Struthio camelus: one gene and its partners. The protein of the gene in region 2 binds, or shares a complex with, the protein of the main gene of each other region. Links are inferred from orthologs where the notes say so. Each region holds a gene or a part of one and is shown on either strand. Other genes may lie near its edges.

Region 1 (7,907 bases), on a different chromosome or scaffold from region 2:
TAAGTTGCCCACTGAATGTGTAGAACTGCAATATGCACCATAATATTTTCAAAATGACGGGTAGCTACAAAATATGACAGACAGGACTGAGTCCCAAAAATAGGTTCAAAATCAGAATTATATAAATCATTTAAAGAGCTTCTTTATCACATTTTAGGGCAATACAAACAGATATTCCACTCTAGGTAGTTACAGATCATGGCACTCCCTTTTCCGCTCTGCAAACATAGCTAAAACTGAAATCTACTGTAAAATCTAAGCATTGCAAATTGGTAATTAAAACTTAAAGAATATTATGTAAACCTAGTATTTTTACAGTGTAATCTAGAAATATTCCAGGAAAATCAAGTTTCCGCAACAAGCTTAAACAACAACAAAAGTAGGTAAGGATTTTGTAAGCAGTTGCTACTAATAGTAAGGACCGCCTTTCTAGAAAGATTCTAAGATTTTGTCTAACTCTGGACAAAAAGCCTAGAAAGAGATCAGTACTCCCTCGACTGCAGTACCTCTTGACTAAATTTTATTTTTCCTAAGAAAGAACAATTTACTATTAACTTTTGTTTGCTTGTGACTAGAACACTGACAGGCTAAAGTCAAAGTCATGCACTGAAAATGCCGTAACATTAACATCTAATGGTACCTAAAATACATCAACTTGCTTCATATGACAAGTTTCTCTCCTATCCAGAGGATCATTTCTGTAATAGCCATTAGCACAACACACATAGTAACTAGTGATGTTCAGATCTTGATGTCAACTGTGTATCACGTACTTTGTGGCAGAACCATCATCATCTTGAATGCACAATCAGATGTCTGCGCACTGCCCAAATACCAGAGTTAACTACTGAGGACCTGGAGATGGAGTGCAGTGTTGGAGTAACAAGAAACCGCTCATAGCATATCCTTATTATGCTCCCCCTGCTTCTCCTCATGCATTGTAATGATGCAAGTTCAATAAATCTCAACGAAATAGATGAGCCTCGTATAGAAGAAACACAGGCTCTGGAGGGACTTACAACTAGCTTTCTAAATGCATGCCAGACATGACCATAATGAAATGTTTACAGCTTTACTGGGGAAAATTCAAGGGGTAATATGCAGGAGATGAAAATACTTGTAAAGTTTCCACCAACACACACTGTACAGTCACATGACAAATACACTTGATAGGTTGTTATACAGTGGGAATCTATATAAATAGCTGATCTTCCACACTGACTGTTTTTAAAGTAGTTTTGCCAAAATATGACCTCTCAAAAGCTCAATAAGATGATGTTTATACTGCAACACTATAATCTCTCATTTTACATAATATATATGCACACACACACACACACAGCCAAAAACAAAATGTCACAAGTAATATTGTTTTATTATGACTGCAAATACAGAGTACTGCGTGCATTAATTTGGACATCTGCGATTTTTAAAAATGCATGAAAACAACACACGTTAACAAATTACTATTTCAAGAAAAAACACCATGCTTCTAGATGATTAATACAGACATCTAATAATTGCAGTCCGCCCAGATGGGTGAAAGTCTTCTAGTTTTGTCCAAGAAGCTGCATCTTTTAAAAACAAACCATTTAGTCACCAAAACACTTATGAGTCTCATGAAAAACAACAACAGAGTAAGTTGTGTTAAAACCTCACAGGAAAACATCTTAAATTTCTGTTCCAAAAAAAACCCCCAAACTCCCAAATTAGCAAGCTGTTCCACAGCTCAGCGTTTCTCCAAGAGTGATGTCAGTTTCTTGCTTTAAATCTGTGTAGCATTGAAACTCTGACAACAACCAGCAAAAACTTTCACCTACTTTCAGTAGCAAACAGTCCCACTTCAGTCAACACTGTGTTAGACACTCAAAGGATCCAAACTTCCAGAACTTGATTTTTTTTTTTTTGGCTTTTGAGCTACAACTTAAGAGATAGCCTCAAGAAAAGGCACAGTCTGGTTTCTGGCCCAAGCCTAGCCTAATAGAGTGTTAGGCTATACTACAAATCAGGACTAAGCTAAATGGGTTCATATCCGCATAAACAAACAAAGTGAAGCTCTGCCCAGTCTAGCTTTTTACCACAGATATTTCATTCTCCCTGGCTGTGCTGGAGTTTCATACTTTTAAGAAAATTCAAATCTAACTCAAAGGACAGAAAACAAGACAGAAATAATAACATAAAGAATAGGTTCCACAGCAAAAAAAGTCTTCTGAAGAAATGCATTAACATTAGCAAATAATTTTTTCTCCAGCATCCGGGGTGTATCATGTAAAGCATTCATTTTTATTTCCTATTTCGACCCTTACAAGGCATTTTTTCCTCATTGAGGCTATAAAATGTTTTGCAAACCAGAGAACGTGTAGTCCAAATAGTTCATCTTAGTTTAAAACGTTCCATGCTGCAAATGCTCAGTCAATTATTTAAACAATTCTAACTTTTAATTAGATACTTCCAGGATTAGGTAGTATTTGCACAAAAAACATCTGCAAAGAGGTTCAGCTCCTCTTTTAAATGAACACAACATATGAGTGCTTTAAAAAACTATTTAAGTCGAGTACAAAACTGAGTCAAGAAATTCTGAGAGTTTAAGATACCACAATAAACTTACTTTACAAACTGTGCACACATTTACAAACACTGCAAACATAACAGCAGGCTGGTAAGTATTTGATTACTGTTTATGCAGAGCACTACATTTTTGGTTCTACAAAACTTTTATAACAGATTTCTATCCAAAGCAGTCAGAAGCCCCTAGCGATTTAGGAGTCCCCTGATCCAACTGTACAGACATGTATAAACTGTATAAACAATTCAACGTCATCGCCAAAGAACTTATAACCAAACATAAAGAGACAATAGGTGACTTGCAAGCACACTCCTGAGGAAATTTAAAAAAAAAAAAAAACTTGAGACAATATTTAACATGCTAGGTAGTGGTCTCAGCAAATTTGCAAGAAAGTCCTTTCTAGGCTTCAGAGTAAAAGTGAGTTTTAAAAAGGGAGAAGAAGGTAGCAACAGCCTTGATGACGTTTAAGAGAAGGTCCATCAAAGCATTAGATGAAGCACTGCTAATGCAGTCAACCTAATTTTTATGTAAAGATCTCAGGATATATTCTCATGTTTCAAATCATTCAGTTGAATTTTGCTGTAATGAAAAGAACTACACTTCTTCCCACGCTGTTCACAATCTACTGCTCCCCAAAGCCTCCACCGCACTAGTTATCATGAGACTAAAGGATAAGTTCGAGGTCTGATGTGATGGGGAAACAGGTAACATTTCTTTTCCATCACCTCCCTTTCCAAGAACAGCACTGTATCCAGTAGAAATGAGAAACCAGGCTCTTACCACTTCATAATGACTGAACTTTCACTACACTACACCTTATTGCAACAATCAACATTTCAAAAAAATAAAAGCCGACAGGCCTCAGAGAATATTATGAGACTTCCAGAGACTGTAACAACAGCCTCCTTCTCTTTTAACAATATCTTTTTTATCCTAGATATTTTTCAAAAAGAATACTTTGAGTTGTCAATAATATTAAAATGACTTGAAATTTTTCTTGTAATCATCAAAGAGCTAGATATTACCTCATATTAAGTATGAGCAAAACAGTTAACCAAAACCAATTTTCTGAGAACATTTTCAGAACTGGTTTAGAAGCCCTGACTCAAACAGTCCACGGACACGTAACAAAAGTTAGTCTGACTTCAGAAGCTTCCGACACAAACTCCTTACAAGAATAACAATGCCCAGCTACTCTCCTGTTCTTCAACCATATGCTGAGGCTTCCCTGTACCTGCAGCGGAGAGACCTGCATAAATTTTGATACATTTAAGTAATTTTACATTCGATTTTGAATAAACATTATTTCATGCTGTGATTTTCAGTGAAGGTTAACATCCACTCGTGTTTTCCTTAGAAATCTTTTTTAAGTTAGAAGAGCACCTACAAAAGCATAGCCACAGTTGAAACGGGACAGCATTGATACCTCGTGGTAGATTTTGCATCTAATTCCTGCTATTCTTCCGTAGCAACCAACGAGTAGTTTGGTGAAGCTGTCTTACCTCTGAAAAATTAACTGCCAGAGGGATAATCCCTGCCACATAACAGGCAACCAGCATGGCCAGAGACAGCAGGCAGATGGAGTGGAAATCATCCATTTCGCTGCTTTCTGTCCAGTCCCTTAAAGTGAAATTCAACAGCAACTTTTCCACCTCGCCCCGCACGCCTTAACCCGTGCAGACACCGAGGTCCCAGGAAAGGCCTTCAGCCATGTCTGTCCTGCCCGGCGGCGCCGGTCGGCTCAGCCCCCAGCAGCGGCCCCCTCCGGGCCAGGGGTGCAGCAGCCCCGGCTCTGCCCGCCGCGGCCGACGACGGCCGGGGAGAAGGGGCGGCCCAGCCCGGGCCGGGGCGGGCGCAGCCCTCCCCTGAGGCGGCTGGACCCTGCCCTGCGCCCCGGGGTGGGGGGACCGCCGGGCCCTGACGCTGCTCGGCACAGCGGGCCGGGGCCGCGGGGAAGGGAAGGGGAAGGGCCGGGCCGGGAGGGAACCGGAGGCCGCACCAGTCCGCGGGCTCCCTGCGCCCACCAGACCCCGCCGCCACCTCGGAGGCCAACTGCCACCTCCACGACACAGCACTTCCTCTTCCGGGGCGCACCCGTCGCATCACCCCGCGCGCTTCCCGCCTTCAAGATGGCGGGCGAGGCAGCGGCCGCCCTGCCGCCCGCGCGAGCCGAGGCGGGAAAGCGCGCGGCTCCCTCACCAAAGATGGCGGCGCGGCGTAGCTCTCCCTCAGCTATTCCCACAAGCCCCCCCCCTCCCCCCCACTTCCCGCCCAGCATGGCGTGGGCGGTCGTTCCCGGCATGCTCCGCGCCCTGCCGTGTGGCAGCGCGCTCTCGCGCGCCGTGCGCGTGCGCGGCAGTCTAGCACCTCGTCGTCTATGGTCGGCCGTTAGCGAGGCGTTTCCGGCCGGCGCGGGGGCTTGTGGGGGAATTGTCGGGCGCCTCTTAGTCGGCGGCGGAGCTGCGGAGCGGGAGCCGCTATGGTGAGCGGGCCCCGGTCGGCCGCGCCGCCACCCCCCCCCACCCCCCTTCCCCGCTACCTCCCGGCCTGGGGGCGGCGGCGCGGGCCCTCCCGGGCTGGCAGCGGCGGGCAGGCCGCGGCGGGGGCGGGCGGGTGGCAGCACGTGCTCGCGGCGGGCCCCGGGGCGGGCGCGGGCCGCGGCTGCGGCGCGCACAAAGGGCGGGCGGGCCGCGGCCCTTGGGGAAGCGCCGCTCGGCCCAGGCGGGCGGGGCGGCGGCGGCCTCGGGGGCCTGAGCTGCTGCTGCTGCCGCCCCGCTGCCGCTCGGCGCGGCGGAGCGGAGCGGGGGGTGGGGGGGCAGCTCGTGCTGGCGGGCTGCGGGACCGGCCCGCTGGTCGTAGCAGCTTGTCGCATTCATGTAGTAAACGTGGGTTTTGCTCAAGCAAGACGTTGCGCTTTGGTGGAAAAAGCGCTGTGGGGTTTAGGGCAAAAGTCTTGTGGCCGCCTGTGTAGCGCTTGGGCAGGTAGTTAGTTCCTGCTAGGACAAGCAGCTACAAGCCCTGTCCTGTTGTCGAAAGTGAAAAGATGGAAGCCACTTAAACCGCTATTTCTGGCCAGCAGGAATACCCGAAAGTCCTTTGAGCGCTTGTGGCATATTGCCTGTCTTTACTTTACTATGCCTGTTTATTTGTCCTTCACACTGTTTGCATCTCTTCCCTTTCCATTTTTTGCCTTATTGTTGAATAGCCCCGACAGTTGCGAGAAGCGCCTTTGGACAGATGTTGACTAACTCCTATGCCCTGTTTTTGCCTGTCAGTGCTGCCTTAAGTGTTTTTTCAGGGTTATGTCTTCAATAATGTGCTTAAAGCACGTTCCGAAGAGCTCTCAAGACGTTTAAAATTCATATAACGTAAACCAGTGTGGTATCTACTCTGCTGTCTCCTTGAACAGCAGACAGTTCGATTACACTTTAAAGGAAAGCACAAGAAAACCCACAGTCTGCAACAGGACAGTAAGAGTTCTTATTGGGCTGTTCCTGATAACCTAGTCTGATTAAACAAGGGTTTCTGCATCATCCACCACCACTTTTCTTTTTCCTAACAACAGGATTTATACCCATAGGAAACTTGGATTTGGCCTCTGTCGCCTAAGCATGTATTCAGTAGGGCAGCTAATAGTTTGAGGAAACTTCTCTTGTACTTCTAAGTTTGTCATTCTTTGGCCCTCCTGTGGAGGGAGAGGAGGAGCAATTTCATAAAATCATTCAAAAAGTTTTTTTTCTTTAGAGTAAAAATGTGGGAAGTTCTTAAATTTGAGATATATATTTTGATTTTTTTTATCCTTTTCCTCCTTAAGGTTTTTAGGGGAAGATGAGAAATTAATAGCTAGTTTAGGGGAAGATGAGAAATTAATAGCTAGTAGAGGAAGAAACAAAAGTCAGTAGTAACAGGATCAAAAAATACTGGCAATAATTTAGGCTCATTTCTTGATGGGTGTAGTAGAATTATTATTAGTGGCTTGCAGAAACTAGTCTTCATTATGTATTGCTGTTTTGCACTTAGAAAAGCTGAAAGATATGCCTTTTTAGAGCATGAATAATAATTCCCCAGGCCAGTGTCTGATATGGATATTGAAAAATGTCTTAAGTGATGAATCACTTAAAATCAGAGACTTAGATGCCTGGCAATCTCATTATTGGGATAACGTTAGAACATACATGCACGATGGTTTAACGTTTAAAGAATAGGAGGGATAGCCTGGGTATTTATACACCAGACAGCCTACAATTGTTCTCCACCAAGAGACAGAATACATAATTCAGTCAGTTATTATATCATTTTTTAATGTTAATCAGTTCTCTTTTATCTGTGCTCTTTTAGGTTTTGTGAAATAATCCCAACCTGTTCTTTAATTTTGAGCCTGGTTGAAAAAGATAAATATGTATAACTCTACCTGAATCAAACATCTCATAAGTTTAGTTTGCAAGACATTCTGATGCTAAAATAGTACAACTGTTTTAGAGCAAGTTTCCTAAGCTGCCTGAAGCACTTCCTTTATTACTGTTAATAGAGAATCCTTAGTGCTCAGATGCTCCCAAGAAGTTAAAGTTACAAGTCTTAGAACCAAGCCTTGTCACCAGTGATCAGCAAACAAATGCGATATTGCTGGTAATAGAACTTGATCAAAGTTTGGCAGAATGATTTAGACTCCCTAGTACGACAAGCCTGTTAAGTACAGCAGGCTTTGGAACCGCCAGATACCAGCCCCCCCCCCCCCCTTGAGGAATTCCATTCAAATTAAGTGTCCTGTGACCTACATGAAAGTGGACTTAGCTGGTCTAGTTGTCTTTGCATGATTTTTATTCTAGTGCATAGCTCTGAATTCTCCTTTTGTTCTGTTTCTAATTGGGGAAAAGTCTTGATCTTTTCTGTTCCTTTGTGTCACTTTTTTCTGGTCTCCTTTCCATCTCTTTCTATCATGATATTTGAGACAGCATTTCAAGAACTGAAAACTAATTCCCAGCATGGGAATACTATCAATCGTGGTGTAGAAATCTTTACTGCCTTCCTATATGTTCTTTGCAAATCCTAATAACTTTTTTGCCATTTTTCTGCATCTGAGTACTGAACTGGAATCTTAACTGTCCTGTCCAAATCATGGGTCAGGAGTTTTCTCTCAGCAGTTAATTAATTTAAACCCAACAATATGTTTTAGTAATTATATTTCCAGTGTGGCTTACTCTGCAGTTGCCAGCGTGAATGTTATGTGCTGTGTGCTCACCTCACTTATTAGCATTGAAAATGTTGGATTCAGTTGACACTAATGGAATGGTGTTGTCTAACGTGCTTACAAAATTTCTGTGATCTATAACTCTTAATTAGG
Region 2 (7,855 bases):
CACGATGACTGACAGAGGTTAGATGAGAGCAGACTTTGATTTTAAAAAAAAAAAAAAAGTCAGTATTTTGGAGAAGACCTAATTTAATGTGAGCAGATCTAAGCTTCCTTTCTTCCCCCTCAAATTGTCTTCTAGCTTAGTCAATGTGTAATGGCAGTGCCCAGTTTTCTGTCTAACACCTGCTGTCTCCATTTAAAAAATTGATTTATCATTCTCTGGTGAATGAGACGTACTACATCTCAAAATTTGGAGAAAATCCCAGCCTTACTGATGCCACATGCCTTAATTATAAGCATCTAACTTCACTATCTACATGGGAAATCTAAGCTTTTTTTAATATAATCAATGGGAAGGCTTATCTACCTCTCTGAACACTTAAGAACCTGCTTCTCTCCTTTATGAGCAAACTAAATTAGATGCCTGAAGTAGGATGTCATGAACCTTCTGAGGATTTGTGAATAAAGTCTGTATAATAATGTTTCCTTAGGGAGCTGGACGTTTAGTTTGATATGCACAAAATTCAGACCAGATCCAAATTAGATAGTCATCTGTGTTATTTCAGATGCCTCTGTGGCACATAAATTATTCCTTCCACTCATACTTGAAGCCTGAGAAAAATCTCACCGAATTCAGTAGAAAGAATCTTGCTGGATGCTGATGTAGTTTGAATTGTGCCCTTAATACAGTTAAACATAGTACAACTTAAAGAATTTGCAGCACTTCCTTATACTACTACATAAGTAATTTTCCCATTAATTATTTTGGTTTGTGGATTATATTTTAAATTGTATTTTAGTTAATTTTCTGCGCTTGAGAGGTGTCTCAAAGAGTTCCAATTTATGTAGCTTTATCTGGAGTGGCCCTTGGAAGTACAGAAATCTCAGTCATGTCCGCTCTGGGCCTTGATGTGCCTCTCCAGTATGCCCAGGTGCCAGGGAAACAGTTTATGCAGAATGATTTCTCTGCTGAAGTTCGAAGGGTAGTTCTTGTGGAGATGGAAAAGTCTGTATAGCAATTAGTCTGGAATCACCTTCTCTCCCTCACTGTCCGTGGTGACTGAAATGTGAGTACTGTATATGACAAACCACTGAAATAGCACTTGGTTTGAAAATTTGTCTGCCCCAGTAACTCCTTATTAGGGAGATTTTTTGGGTTTTTTATGCATATCCAGATCTTTGCAGTGTGACAATTTGCACTCAGAGTGACTCAGCTCTGTTAATCTGGTCATTATAGCTTCCATGAGGTTGAAAATACATATTGTTAAATACATGCACATCTGTTTCATACCTCAAATATATTATGCCTTGATCAGTAAAGTGTCTGGAAGGATAGGTCATTAATTTGTGTGTGTTTCACAACTTCATGAAGTGGAATATATTGTGGTAAAATACCAATTGTTTTGCCAAAAAAGGTAAGTATTGCAGGATGAGCAAAATTTCTCTTCCAGTATATTTTCCTTTTGGAAGGACACAGTATGAACTGCATTTGCTGACACTGTTACTAGTAATATGAAAAAGACACTGGCTCCACCTAATCTTCATTCTGATGAATGCAGTCTGCTAACTTTATTAGGAAATCTATAATTAGTTTTTCTTGTGGGCTTAGTTTCTGTAGAGTGTGTGTGTGTAAGACAGCAATTGTTTCTGTCCAACCTTCCTATATCTTGGATATGGAAACTTCCTTATTCTTAGGAACTGATCTTTGTTAATGCTAATGATAGTTCCCGATACTGCTGTAGATTCTAATTGCACAAGCTCCTCCGTACAGCTGGACCGCCCACTTTAAAAGTCTAGATGGAAGATAGTGTTTTTGTGCACGTGTCTGAGAAGTTTTATTTAGAAGTCCAGAGAATAAAAACTTTCAGGTGAATTTATTACTTGTTAGATGTGGCAGATTGGACTTAATTCTTCAGGATTCTTTCTCTTGTTGAACAGATAGAGCAGGGCAAGGTTTGCGATACTCCAGTCCACTTTTAACATTTCATGCTAAAAGCTGCCAATGCATGACAAGCTTAGTCTCTGAGTTAGGGTTGGGAGTGTGCTCCACATCAGTTGGTCTGACCTATGGGGGAGGGGGACAAGGGGGCTTTAAAAGTTCTCTTGTCTCTCACTAAGCTGTGCCTAGTTACTGCTCCTGTTTTTGTGATCCTTCATGTCTGTTCTAATGCAGTTTTCCAGTGGGAACAAGACTGAAATCTCCCTAATGCATTTATTTCAGTTTGGTCATCCCAGAGATGCAGGAGGTCAACCTATTTCAGTTGCTGTTGACCTGTTGAGAATTGAAGCTGGAAGCCTGGGTGTATAGGAGTGACCTAGCAAAGATGTACATATGCTGTAACTGTTGAGATTTTTCCCTAACAGCAGTATGTGGGCTGTGGGAAATTAGTAAGTAGGTTTTGTACAGATGACCAACCTCAATGCTTTCCGTATGTGGTGGATTTCCCCCCTCTTTGACTTTTGAAGTACTGGGCTTACAAAAGCGTTTGTAGAAAGTGGTCCTCTCTCAAAGTAGCTTTACTATACTTGCACCGAACACAATTTTAGCTTTTTTAAACAGGTTTGAGATAGTAAGTCATACAGGTCTTCTGGGTTAAAGACTTAACCATGATTTTAACTTCATTGTTTTGCTGAAAGCATTGTTTTATACTGTATTATTAAAAACCTTTTGCTTATAAAAGGTTAGAAATATGTTTCCTTGTATATTGTCAGTGTCTCAAAGTATCAGCTGTTACATTAAGTATTAGTTAAGTTAGGCATTAAGTCATAGTATTATGTTTCTCTGAAAACTGATGCAAAATGGAAAACTAACATACTGGTTGCTTCTGTAATTATTTTTTCACTTTCAAAGCACTGCATGCATTTTAATATCTTGTATCTCTACATGAAAATCTGTTTCTGATCCTAACTCAAATGTTGCAGTTTGTGTACATGGAAAAAATTATTGTACATTACAGAAAATATCACAAGTTACTTTCAGTGCAAGTTTCAGTTGTATACAAGTTACATCAGGCAGAGGTAAATGAGTAATGATACTTGCATGTCCTTATACTCTTTGAAAGGGACAATCCTTTTGTTTTCTGTCACGATGTTAGCAATTTATGAGGTGACATGATGCAGATAGTTTACAGCAAATGTCAACGTTAACACATTCTATGGTTAATGACTTATGCTTTGAAGCTTGAAACTCAATGTAAATGGTTGTTTTGCAAGCCACGGGTATTTCTTAAATATGCATTCTGAAGTAATTATTTTAAAATAAATAAAAGTGGTTGTCATTTTAAAACCACTCTAAAATACTGGCTTGAATGCAGAAGCCTGTAATGATGAATTAAAAGATGTACTGCCTTCAGTTTTTGAAGGCAGCTGGCAGAGATGCCAACCAATTTCAGTAACCATGTCATTATGTACCAATAATAGCACCATGGCATTATGTCAGAATAAATACCAGAATATCATCAGATATGTTAGTCCAGTCAGACAAACACAAAGGTAAAAGCCCTAACAGAAAATATTAGTTACAATTATCTTCCCTAACTGTATTTAGGGACCTCAAAGCCATTACGTGACTGATACATTGCCTGATTATCATGCCCTGAAATTGCTTGTAGAAGCAAACAGAAATTGTAATAGTTAATGCAAGTGATTAAGCCTTTTGATGCATTATTTTGTTACTGTTTTGTTTTTCCTATGATGTTGATTTCAAATCAGTATTACAGTGAAGAGGTAACCCGGTAATTTAAGTGTATCAATATGGAGTTACTGTAGTTCTGTATTTTTGTGCCTGAAAACTACAATGAAATGTTAGTTATTCTGTTAAGTACTTGGTACATATGGCAGGAAAGACGGTCCTACGTTGATTTCTCCTCTTTAAGATCAGTTTTGAAAGGGTAGTGCTGTAGTTGTGTTACTTGGACCTAAAGCAGCATCAGAAGGAAGCAATATCTATTCCATCAACCAGCTGATGATGCATTTGTGTGGGGGGAAACAGTGACAAGCTCTGAGTGTGCACATTCCTTCCATCAGGCCTGATAGAAAGCATCACCTCTTCCTCACACCCTGCTTCTGATCTAGTTTTCCTATTTTGAACAAGAGCAGGTGGGCAAACAGAACTTTAAGAGAGCAAAAAGCATAGATACATTGGAGACATTCAGCTGTGTAGCCGTACTACCCCATCTCTCTTTAAAGCAAAGATAATGGACGAATGAGGTAAGAACGGGGGAACGGACACCCCCCCCCCCCCCCATTGCTTTGTACATGTAAGGAAAGGGAGGAGGGGAGAGAGCACAGCTGGAGCATGGTGTACGTTTAACCCCTTCTCCGAGGGGCCTTCTCCCCTCCCTGTACAGGGAAAGGGCTGGGGCTTGGGGGAGCAGCCTCAGGCTCGGTCCCCAGCCCCGGTGAGCCGAGGCCCGGCCAGCCGCGGCCCCGCTCCTCTCCCCACGCCTCAGGGCCGCGCCCGGCTCAACCTCTTCGCCCTCCCGTCGCCTTGGGCCCCGCTCTCGGGGCTTCCCCCCGCGCCCCGGCACAAGCGCAGCGGCGCTGCGACCGCCTCGGGGCCTTCCCGCGGCGGCGGAGGCCCTAGACAAAGAGCCCGGGGCGGCCCAGCCTGCTGCCCCATCATGGCCGCCCGCCTCTGAGGACGCGCCCTCCCGCCGCACGCACCACCGCCTCCGTCCCGCCCCCGGCCTCCTCTCATTGGTCAGACACCATGAGCGTATGTGTCGCTCGCGCCTCTATTGGCAGGGCGGGCTAACATGCCCGGGAGCAAACCAATAATTATCGAGAGTTCAAATTCGTGACAGCTGAGACGGGCAAGGCAATTGGCTTGCCCGAGGGGCGCGTCCCGCCCGCCGGGACCGCAGCTGCTCGGAGCAGGCGTTTAAAGATGGCGGCGGAGGCGGCGGCGGCGGCGCGAAGTGGGAGGCGGTTTCCGTGAAGCGGCCGCGCCAGCGCTTCCCCCACCCCCATCCCCAAGCCGGGCCCGGGCAGGAGGAGCGGCGGGGACCCCGGGAATGGCCCAGGTGGGTGCCGGCCCGGCGGGCTGCGCCGCCGCGGAGGGCGGGCACGAGCGGGGCCTGCGCGGCCCAATCGCCGCCGCGCGGGCAGTAACCCCTGCGTCCCCGCGGGCCGGGGCGCCGCGAGCAGCCCTTGCTCGAGCCGCCGAGACAAAGTCGGCGCCAGCCCCTGCCCTGAGCGGGCACGGCGGCTCTGCCGGCGGGCTGCCCGCCCGCCGCTCCTCCCCCGCCCCTTCCCTGGCGGCCGGCGCTTCCCTCGCGCTCTTTCTTTCTCTGCCGCCTCCCTGGAGCTGCGTTCAGGCTGGTGGGAGGAAAGGAAGCGCCATGTCTCTCTGTCCTCCCCGCACATCTCTCCTGTCGCTGGTGGGGAGTGTTAACCTGGCCAGGCTTTCTACCATCTCGTGTTAGGGTGCAGGGCGGCGGGGGTGGAAGGGTTTCTCCTGTGCACCTCTCTGCGCGCAGGGCGGGGGGGCCCCGCAGGGGTGAAGACTCTCATCTATCCTCCCATGCGAAGTTGTGAAGAAAACGCAGCCGCCGTCCCCACCACGTGTGTGCACACCCGTTCCCTTTTTTTGGTCCTTCTTGCAGATTGGGGTGGTGAAGAGAAAGTTGCGTGTCTTCCTAGCCCTCGGGATTCTTCTTCACGTGCTCTTTTTATTCATGGCGAAGTATAGTATGTTTTTTTCTAAATTGCCTAATTCAGTCTCTGAAAGGTTTAGGTTCCTAAACTTTCTTATTTTTCACTGGAAAAATAAAGGTCTTTCCTTTGCACCTCTTTGTCCTTAGCGTGGATTAATGAAAGAGGGTTTTCTTTTGATACAATTTCAGAGTAATGACTCTTTCACAGTAGATTCTCAGTTGTCTTCTCTTTAGTAATCCTTTTCGGACACTTCCAAAGGGAAGTCTTATTTTAGTGGAGATTCAAGGAAAAAAGGGAATTCTTCTAATTCTTCTTCAACTCCTTTCCTTTTTTTTTTTTTTTTTAATTCGTGATGGGTAGGAGAGGAAGGATGTTACTCGCATTTGATTATGCTTCCTTTCTGAATGAAGAGAGAGCCTGAATCTGCCAGCTATATTTCTACACCTAGTTTTCGATACAATGGCCGTTCCATTGACACTAGGTGTATTTGCAGCATCTTTTTGCTGCTGAGAGGGTGGACTTCCTAAAATCAGCTAAGAGACAGTTAATGCTTTCCTTCTGAAGGTGGGATTGAGAGCTTGCTGAGTGAGCTCATTCATTCTCATTGCTCCATTAGGTAGAGACCTTAGAGTTAGTTCTTTAACTTTTCTTTCATGAATATTTCTCTTCTCCCTTCTGTTTAGGTAACTTAAGCATTCTTTAATTCTGGGTGAAAATTAGCTCGCTAGTTCTCCGTGTAGTTTTTTTGATTGCTAGGATTACTTTGCTTTTTGGGAGAGCGAGAGGGGAATTTAGTCCGTTATGTCTGTTGTTTTTCTTCATAAGTAAGAAGCCAGTTGTTAGGTGAATGGAAGCACGCGTTTTTTTTCCTTTCTAGCCTCTGAATTGCATTTTTTCCCCTAAAACTGTTTCCTGTTTCACGCTGTTAATTGAAACCATCTAAGCCCTATCAGAAAATTGGTCAAGCTGTAAGTGCAGCAATTGCTTTGCCATTTACAGAGGTACCTTTCCCACATCGCGTACTCTGGTGCTTCAGAAATGAGACGTAACTATGCTGGATGCAGCCTTATGAACGAGAATTCTTTAGCCTTGTCTACGTTTGCTCTAGATAAAGTTATGATTGGGCCTCTGACTGGCTTTTCTGAAACTGCCTTGATGGCTTCCACAAAATGGTTGCTTTCTTCACAGTCTTTCTGTGCTAATGCTGATTAATATGGAGAGAAATAAGCTTTTGTATGTAGTAGCAACTTATGGAACATGTTTGTTTGGAACTTCCTGTTCTGTTTTTATGGAAAGAAAGGATTCAGTCTCCTTATTGTTTTGTTTTTTGTTTAGTTGGGTTTTATTCTAACACTTCATACTTAATAAGAGCAAATTTATTCTTAGGACTTTGAAGAAGTCCCCCCTGTGAGTGCGGGATTGCTTTGACAGGGATCAGGATTGAGTGGATTTTTAAGCAAGATCAGTGCATCATAACTTCTGCTCTGCAGAATTAGCCTTTGGAGCCAGAGGATGAGAGAGAGGACTTTATATTTGGATAGCAAAAATAAGGAGAGTTTGCTCAGAGCTACTCTTTCTTTTGGGGTCCACTGACTGTGAAGTTAACAGTTTCTGGCAAGAAGCTAGATTTTTTTTTTTTTTTTGAAACTGTTTTCAGAAGACAGAATCCATGATATGTTGTTCCTTGTTGCTGATTGCAGCTACAGGTAGTCATGTTGAAAATCTGTTCTGCATTGACCTCACTTCAAAGACTACTGAAATGCTATTATGTGAAGAGAGCTCCTCTTTGAGCCTGGGCAGTGCTGGTTACAAATTTTAAGATTCTGTATTTGTGTTTTCATCAAAAGAGATACCCTTTTGTCTGTGCACTTTTTTTTTTCTCGATCCATCTGTTTAGACGGGGAGAATAGGCATTGGTACTTGCTAAACAGAGAAAAAGCTATTTTGCTTTTCTTTCTCTCTTCCAAAAATGTAGATTTATAAGATAACTGAGCCAAGAGGAGGAGCTTCAGTATACTGCTTTTATTGGGGATCTACTCCATTTGCTACATTACGTTTGGATGTCCGCTGTGTATCTAATTCTTTGAGTTTACTTTTACTTTGTGATATGAGACCTTTTCAAATGATGTGCTAAAATGTGGACTTTCTGTGTACTGGTGGTATCTGCAGGATATCAGCTGTGCCTTCATATTTTCTCCAGT
Region 3 (7,523 bases), on a different chromosome or scaffold from region 2:
TTGCCGCCACTGCTGTTGGTAGCGCTGCTCTGGAAAGAGCTGGAATTGTGCTGATAGCTATTGAAGTTCGGAGGGGGGAATGACTGCTGTGAATACCCTGCGGAGTAAACAGGCTGGTAGTTGACTTGCTGCGGTATGACTGGGGGTGGGGGAGGATGCGGTACTGTCGGGGGCGGCATCATGTAAGGAAATGTGTTTTGCCCCGTCGGAGTTCCTGGCACAGGAGTATTGCTAGGATTTGGCACTGGTGGAGGAGCGGGAGGGAAGCACGGAGGCACTGGGAAACCCTGCCTCATCTGATGGTTTGGAAAAGGTGGCCTCATGGGACACTGGCTGATGGGACTCTGTGTGGAAGGGGGCACTGGAGGAGGATACGGCACAAAGTCTGGCCTGGGAGGCATGTAACCAGTGGCTGGAGGGTTTGAATAGGTTGTCGGAGGGGCCGTTTGCTGGTCATACTGGTATTGCACAGAGGGCTGCTGTGGGTGAAGCTGCCGTAGGTTCTGAGGTCGGTAGGTCTGTGTTGAAGTTCGTGCTCCTGGTCCCCCCTGGCCGCGGGGACACCCTCGTCCGGAATGGAAAGACATGGCTCACCTTTAAAGAAGAAAATAAATAAATGTACAGTGTCACAAAGTTTTTCTATGAGGTTCTTTGGAAGTAGTTCCAGGAAATGCACAAAGTGCTTAAATTATGATTTCTGCAGTTTCTTTTAATAGGAGCAGCAGATGACGACCACTGGCTTTCATTGTGAGCTTTGTGCTCCTCAGTGCTGTAGTACAGGTCATTATTCCCCCAAGATTCCCCTAAGTCTCTAATCCACTAATGCACTCTCCTGCCTCTAATCCAGAATCCAGGTGGGACCATACCCTCATGGTCATGGATGCTTTAATATAAAGTCTTCAGACACCCACACCAAAGAGATCGCTCATTTTAACAAAGGTAGGAGTCATCCAAGGTCTTACATCAAGGAGTTCTTCCTAGAACACTATTCTAAACTTCAGGTAGAACAACTTTACTAACATGCCATCGTGAGTTGCCTGGTCCAGTGAAAAAAAATCACATAAATCTTAAACAAGATAATGGGAATTTATATTCACAGTTAAGTCCCAATTTCGTACAGGACTGAATTCAACAGATATTTTAAAGTTAGGTACATAAAAATTTACTGTGACCCACAAAAACGTACGTGGACTGTGGTTTGTTCCAATTTCAATAAACAAACATTTTCAAAATTCCTGAAGTACCTAATTGGCCGTGTTACCTTGCTGGCAATAGGCACTGCTCTAAGCGGGCTGAAGTCTTGCTCAAAAGCATGTGTTGTATGTAATGTACTACGGTATTAAAGTTTAAAAATGAAAACTGCTGTGGCATATTGAAGTTAAAATTAGTTTTTCATTAAAATGTTCAAAATTCAAAAACTGGGAAAAAGGAAAAAATATTTAAAATAAAACATCAACAATGATATGTTGGGTGGAAGGGAGGGAGAGAGGGGGAAAAAAACAGTTGATCCTGCAGCTGCAAATGTCAAATCCTGTTCTCTATAAGAGAGAGACACATAAACACGTATGCGGAAAGATCACCAGACACAGAAAACAAAGCCTCCTTTTTACAGTGGCTTTACCGATGCAGAAGTACACATAGGGAATAGTCTCCCACCTGCTACCCTGTAACCCGGCAAACGTGGGCTGCTCAGAGTACTACTTTTGGCTGCATTCTGGTCCCAGCGCTGCAAAGGATGAAGCTTGCTGACTGATGCCAGACTTCTGCTAGTGAACCGAAGGGAAAAAACGGAAAAGAAATGAAACAGGGGGAAAGGATGCACATTGAGGAAGAGGTACCAGGAGGACCCCAAGTCTCCCGTCCCATGCTCAGGGCTTGGTTGAAGCCACTGGAAGTGGTGGTGGGGCATTTCCTCCCTCGTTTGAGCAAGTGGACAACAAAGGCCAGCAGGATAAGGGCGGATCAACACGTTTCTAGGAGGTAGCAGACATGTAAAGCCACTGACTGATTCCTTCCAGGCAACCCCGGTCTGTTCAGTACCCTCAGGTCTTTTAAAGGGTCTCAAAAAGAAATGACAGGGAAAAAAAAATCTACTCCACACCTTCACGAGTTTGTCTGGCAGCAGCGCTACTTTCTGTCATCCTTAATTCTAGTCCATTAAACGCTGGACCATTTTTCCTCAGGTCAGCAGTTATAACTCACCTAGCGCAGGCTTCTGCCAGTACACTGTTTTGTGCTTTGCTGACATTTACATACAAATTTTATTTAAACAGGCTGAGCCAATCTTTTATCCCCTTGAATGAAGTAAAGGGAAACCCACTGTACTGTACTGTACTGGTGCCTTAACGTAAGGCACGTTTCTTCTTAACACGTGCCAGTGCATTCAAACAAAAGGTCTCCTTTACCAGCTCTCTCCGAGCTTATCTGCACCTTCAGAGGTTTCCTCTGGTTTCTGCGATCACAGTTCAAGCACTTCAGAACGCACCGAAACGCAGAGCCAAAGGCAGCAGGGAAGGCAAAAAAAAAAAAAAAAAAATTATTTCAGGTTATTTTAAAGCTCCCGCTGCTGCAATTTTTCACCGCGTTCAGGTTCGCTTTGAACTTCAGTGGGAAAAAACCGATGACGAGTCATGCCCTTCCTTCCACCCACAAAGAGAAACCCGTTGCGCCACACGGACACGGACACGCGCGGACACCCGCCCCGGCGCAGGGCCGGCGCGACGGGGCCCTGCCCTCAGGGCGGCCCGGGCCGGCACCGCCCGCCGCCTGCCCTCAAACGGCGCCAGTTTCGCCCGCGCGGGAAGGGCAGGTTTACGCACGGCCGGCGATCACCGCAGCGGCAACGACCGCCAGCCGCCGCCGAGCCCCGCGCGGCGCCCCGGCCGCCCCTCGGCCAGCGGGGCTGCGCCATCACAACGGCCCGCGGGGCCACGTCGCCACGGCGGCGGTCGATGCGCTGCTTCGCCCCGGCCCGGGAGGGGCACGCACCCGCGCAGCCCACCTGCTGCCCCGCCGCCGCCGCCGCCGCCGCCCGCGCCGGCTCCGGAAGAGGAAGGCGCGGGGCGGGGCGCCGCGGGCGGAAGCCGCCGCCGCCACCCGGAGGGAGCCGGGCCGCCGTGACATGAGCGGTGGGGGCCGCCCGCCCGGGGAGCGCCCCGCCGGGGCCGGCCGGAGGGCCTACCCGGTGCTGCCGGTGTGGGTGGTGGAGGACCACCAGGATGTGAGTGAGTGCGCGGCGCGCCCGGCCCAGCCCCAGGCCCGTCACTTCAGCGGGTGCAGCCGCCTCCCGGGGCCCCACCACCATCCCCCCCGCCGGGGTCCCGGCCCGGCCCGGCCCGGCCGCCCCTCGGGTAGTAGCGGCAGGGGAGAGGCGGGTCGCGGCCTTTCTCTGGGCCGTGGGTATTTGGGGGGGTTAAAAAAAAAAACAAACCCTTTTCTGTCTTTCTCGGTTTCTTCTTCCAGCCGTGCCCGCTGCCCTGGGGGCGCGAAAACCAGCCTCCTCGGGCCGGTCTGGCTAGTGGCACACGAGTGAAGTTCAGTGTCCAGATGATGTGGAGCCCCGTCGTGATCCAGTGATGCATGTAGCTGGTGCCATTAGGGCAGGCTGGTGGGGTTTTAAGTAGTTATTTCACTCTCTTTCTCTTTTTTTTTTTTTTTCCCCCATGGTTTCTGTGTTTAAAAGAAAATAACACCCACGTTTTACTGCTTCTGGAATTAGCTAGGTCCTAGCGTACTGCTTAGAAACTCAGGCCTACGCAACGTATGAGGCACACTCTAACCAGCACATTGACTGTCAGTAGCTGAGAGATGTCAAATTTGGTGCTTTATATTATTTGTTTGCTTGTTTTTAATGATAGCTAGTTTAAAAAGGCAATCCTTTGCAAAGGATTGCTTTTGAAGTGCTGTTTCTGGTTTCTCAGAGAGTTTCTTTATTATAGCACAAGTTGAGGCTGTAATCCAAAGTAAGCAAATTCTTTACCCAAAGGCACAAAAGCCCACTAATTTCAGCAAGCATTTCTGGGGCATAAAGAACTGGTGGAGAAAAAAATGAAAAGCATTAACTCTATTGCTGTTTTGCAAAAGCACTAGCGTGATACAGTTTATTAAGGGAAACGTTATTCTGAACTTGAAAGTAGATAATTTAATGAGGATTATTTTTGCCAAGACTCGCTGAAATGGTTGATGCTGTGGTGGCTGGTTTTCTGCAGTAACCACGGACTAAGAGTGTCACTGTAATAGAAGTACTGAGATAATGTCTGTTAATAATTCTTCTTTATTTTGCTTTCAGTACTTCTCTTTTGAATTAGGTTAACAAAGACTCTTCCTACCAAATATATATGCTGTACTTTCAATATATGTATGTATATACATTGATCTGTCTTATATAAAACGTGTATAGGCTTTTACCTCAAAGCGTAAGAACTTCCCAGAAACTATGTATAGTCCAGATGAATTACTGACGTTGAAGTTTCTCTGGGGGTAGATGACACTAGAGGCACCATGCTTTGATTAATAATAACAGCTAGCGGGAAGGGAATTTTGTTCTCAACCCAAAGCAGCAGAACTTGCAATGTAAGGGACTCTAGGCTTTTGTCTCCTCCCTCATCCTGCTCTGTTTTCAGAATTTGCGCTAACACTTCCATGAGATTAAACTAATTTCACCTGTCAACATTGTAGGTTGTACAGGTAGGCCATTTGCCTTTTGTGAAGAACTGGAAATCATAGATCAGAGAATCACTGTTATTTTCAACCTTATTTTTATCTATTATTACAGTAGGATATATATCATTGCATAAGTAGTGGGAAAACTGAGAATTTATAGCCGGTCTGGTGAAATACAATCCAAATTTCAACTAAGTGTCAGATTTTATGGTTATGTACACTCACTATTCAGGATTTGTGATCTTAATCAGTTTTATGCTTAAAAAGTAGCTCAGTTTGCATTTAAATACAGAGATCCCGTGTAGCTTATATTGCCCAGTCTTTTTATAGTTTTCATGCTCCCTGTATAGTAGCGATCTGGTTCACAATTCTTGCTAGATTTGTTCTGGCAGCTAAGGCAGTTACCGGCCTGTAACTGTGGGAGAAGCTCCGTCTACTGCAGCTCAGTGTAAGAAGGATCGTGAATTAGCCTTCAGTTGTCTCATCCCACTTGACAGTATTGCACATCAGTGCTTTGTTATGCCGTAAATTGACACATCTACCCATCTGCTTTTCTCACTTTTAAGTGGGCAGCTGGGGAAGGTAGTCTTTTCATTGCAGCCGCTAAGTCCTGCAGGGATTGGGAATTAAACTTTTTCTCCAGAGGAATAGGTTTAAAGATCAGCTAAAGCTTAAATGGTAGCCGGGTCAGTTTTCACCCTGTATCAGTTAACATTTTGTTAGTGGGGCTTCAGAAGTTTGTATCTCCGCAGCCCCATGCATAGGTTGTGGCTAAGCTTTATAGCATGGAAAAGGAAGTGTAGGGGGTAATCTTCAGCGGAAGAGAGACGGCATTTCTGGGGATCAGTTGAAAAGAAAAAAACTAGGCAGTGTATTAAATTATTAATCAGAAGAGCTACTACAAACAAGACTTCCTATAAGGAAGAAAAGAAAGAGTAAAGCTATGATTCTGCAGCAACTGGCCATGTATGAAACTCTTGGGTTCATAGTGATTCACGGTTCTTCGGCTGTCTTGCTGTTGGAGTGGTATCCCTTTGTTTTCAGTCTCCTTCTCCTTCTCCCAAGAAATAATCCAAATTCAAAAGAAGCAAAGAGGAGAGGGGCTGGTATTTTTGCTATTAACGTCATTGCGTTTTTCAGCTTGCTGGTTATAACTGAAATATTTTTGTTCGTATTGTTTTAGGTTCTGCCTTTCATCTATCGCGCCATTGGTTCAAAGCACCTTCCTGCCAGTAACATCAGCTTTGTTCATCTTGACTCCCATCCAGACCTCCTTATTCCCGTAAATATGCCAGCAGACACCGTATTTGACAAAGAAGCTCTTTTTAGGTAAAGTCCTGTGTACTGCATCAGAATACCTGAAGTCCACTTCTTGCTACCTTTGATTTACAGTCCGTATTCGTTTAACTTTTCATACAGCAGGTGTAAAGCAGCCCCAAGTTGTGTCTTCCATCCTTTCACTTTTGCTGAACACTTTGGTTTTTTTGTGGGGAGGAAGTTATGTGTGTGCTTTATGAGTGTGGTCAAATATTTATGTTGCATATCAAGAAAACCTGAGACTTGCGAATTTACTTTTAGTTGTTTAGTAGTATGTCGTGTTATTAGGCCAGGTTATTTCTCTGGATAACAGGACAGTACTCCTAAGTGCTGATCCTTTTGATCTGAAGAGCTGTAGGTTTAGAACAGCCTTTCTGTCCTCAGTCTGAAAAATCTGCTTTGAGGTTGCAATAGCATCATCTGTGGTGACATGCTGAATGTGTGAAGTTGAACAAGATTTTCTCATTAATATCATGAGGACCAATATTTTACCCCAACTTCTGAAGAAGGTAACAAGGCACAGAGTGACCTTTATTGTCTTTCTCTTCCCATTTTAAAATGACTCTTGACTACTTCAGTATGGAATGGTGATTCACAGCAATCAAAGGATGATGTAATTAGTACGTAAGTAGCTGTGTCATTCTATCAATAGTCAATATCTTACTTTTTTTGTTGGATAAATAAGAAACTTTGGGAGCCGTTTTGTGCGCTTAAAGAGATAGCATATTGATAGTAAGGATCGATTTTTATTCTGTAGGTGCTGATTGATTGCTTTTCAGCACTGAGATGATATTTAAAACCTGTTTAGAGTACTTGACAGCAAAATACTCTGAGGTCAATTCAGAGCTGTCTAAAATAGTGTTGATCATGATCTTTGCACTTTTCCTCTGTCTGATACATCAAGAGAGAAAGGGCAACAAATCCATGTCGTTTATAGTCAAAGAAGCCTACTAAGAGTGAAGCTGACCCTGACCTATAATCCTTTTTTTTTCGTTCTGCTACAGACGTTTTGGGTTCTTCTTATGAATTAAGCTTTCCCTCCTACTTTTTTGATCATGTGACCTGTGCACAGTGTTCTTACTTCAGATGATTTGTGTGTGTACTTTCAAGATATGGAAGATACTTGTAGTGCTCTTGACCGTGTTTTACTTACAGGGGAGCTAACAGTGTAACCTCCAGTCTTTCTTCATTCATTCCAGTGAATTAAGTATTGAGAACTGGATTATGCCTGCAGTTTACGCTGGCCATATTTCTCAAGTAATATGGCTTCACCCACCTTGGGCTCAGCAGATCTCAGAAGGAAAACACGATTTTTTAATTGGGAAAGACATATCAACAACTACAATCAGGTAAACTGCCTACTACCATACGCTAGTAATATGAAAGCTAGCTATGTAGCTTTTCATGGGATTAATTTTGTATTCTTGGATAACTTGGATACTGTTGTTGGATAGTATTGTGCCTTAAAGTCCTAGATATTCTCATTCAATCTAGGCAAGTCTTAAATTATTTCTATTCATTAAAGTCAAAATCTTAGAAAGCTA

What was found. The genes of interacting proteins can lie anywhere in the genome.
Region 1: the proteins of DGCR8 (region 2) and ERH are in contact, whole or in part, in a crystal structure (PDB 7CNC), measured with the Homo sapiens proteins. The link is inferred for Struthio camelus from reciprocal best matches to the Homo sapiens genes DGCR8 and ERH. Residues at the interface, in NP_073557.3 of Homo sapiens: Lys107, Phe108, Ser109, Pro110, Asp111, Leu112, Leu114, Leu115; in NP_004441.1 of Homo sapiens: Val8, Pro10, Thr11, Thr18, Tyr19, Ala20, Glu27, Lys34, Met35, His39, Arg42, Met43, Phe60, Leu64.
Region 3: the proteins of DGCR8 (region 2) and DROSHA are in contact, whole or in part, in a crystal structure (PDB 5B16), measured with the Homo sapiens proteins. The link is inferred for Struthio camelus from reciprocal best matches to the Homo sapiens genes DGCR8 and DROSHA. Residues at the interface, in NP_073557.3 of Homo sapiens: Asn728, Ile731, Leu732, Lys734, Leu735, Gln736, Glu738, Met739, Lys740, Leu742, Ala743, Arg746, Arg750; in NP_001369437.1 of Homo sapiens: Leu984, Leu987, Phe988, Thr998, Tyr999, Thr1001, Ala1002, Ile1003, Gln1005, His1008, Phe1069, Asp1073, Leu1074, Glu1076, Val1077, Trp1078, Asn1080, Pro1082.

Annotation. Positions count from the first base shown.
Region 1 is NC_090946.1:45,491,224-45,499,130, forward strand, and holds the start of ERH (enhancer of rudimentary homolog), read left to right. Parts: upstream 1-4,850; 5' UTR 4,851-5,045; coding exon 5,046-5,048; intron 5,049-7,907. Other genes in the region: SLC39A9 (zinc transporter ZIP9), read right to left, coding at 4,069-4,186, 4,566-4,669. UniProt on the Homo sapiens protein: May have a role in the cell cycle.
Region 2 is NC_090958.1:11,505,680-11,513,534, forward strand, and holds the start of DGCR8 (microprocessor complex subunit DGCR8), read left to right. Parts: upstream 1-4,844; 5' UTR 4,845-5,020; intron 5,021-7,855.
Region 3 is NC_090943.1:91,265,902-91,273,424, forward strand, and holds the start of DROSHA (ribonuclease 3), read right to left. Parts: upstream 3,058-7,523; 5' UTR 3,002-3,057; exon of another isoform or gene 2,989-3,001; intron 1,769-2,988; exon of another isoform or gene 1,657-1,768; intron 595-1,656; 5' UTR 588-594; coding exon 1-587. Other genes in the region: C2H5orf22 (UPF0489 protein C5orf22 homolog), read left to right, coding at 3,122-3,220, 5,846-5,991, 7,179-7,328. UniProt on the Homo sapiens protein: Ribonuclease III double-stranded (ds) RNA-specific endoribonuclease that is involved in the initial step of microRNA (miRNA) biogenesis.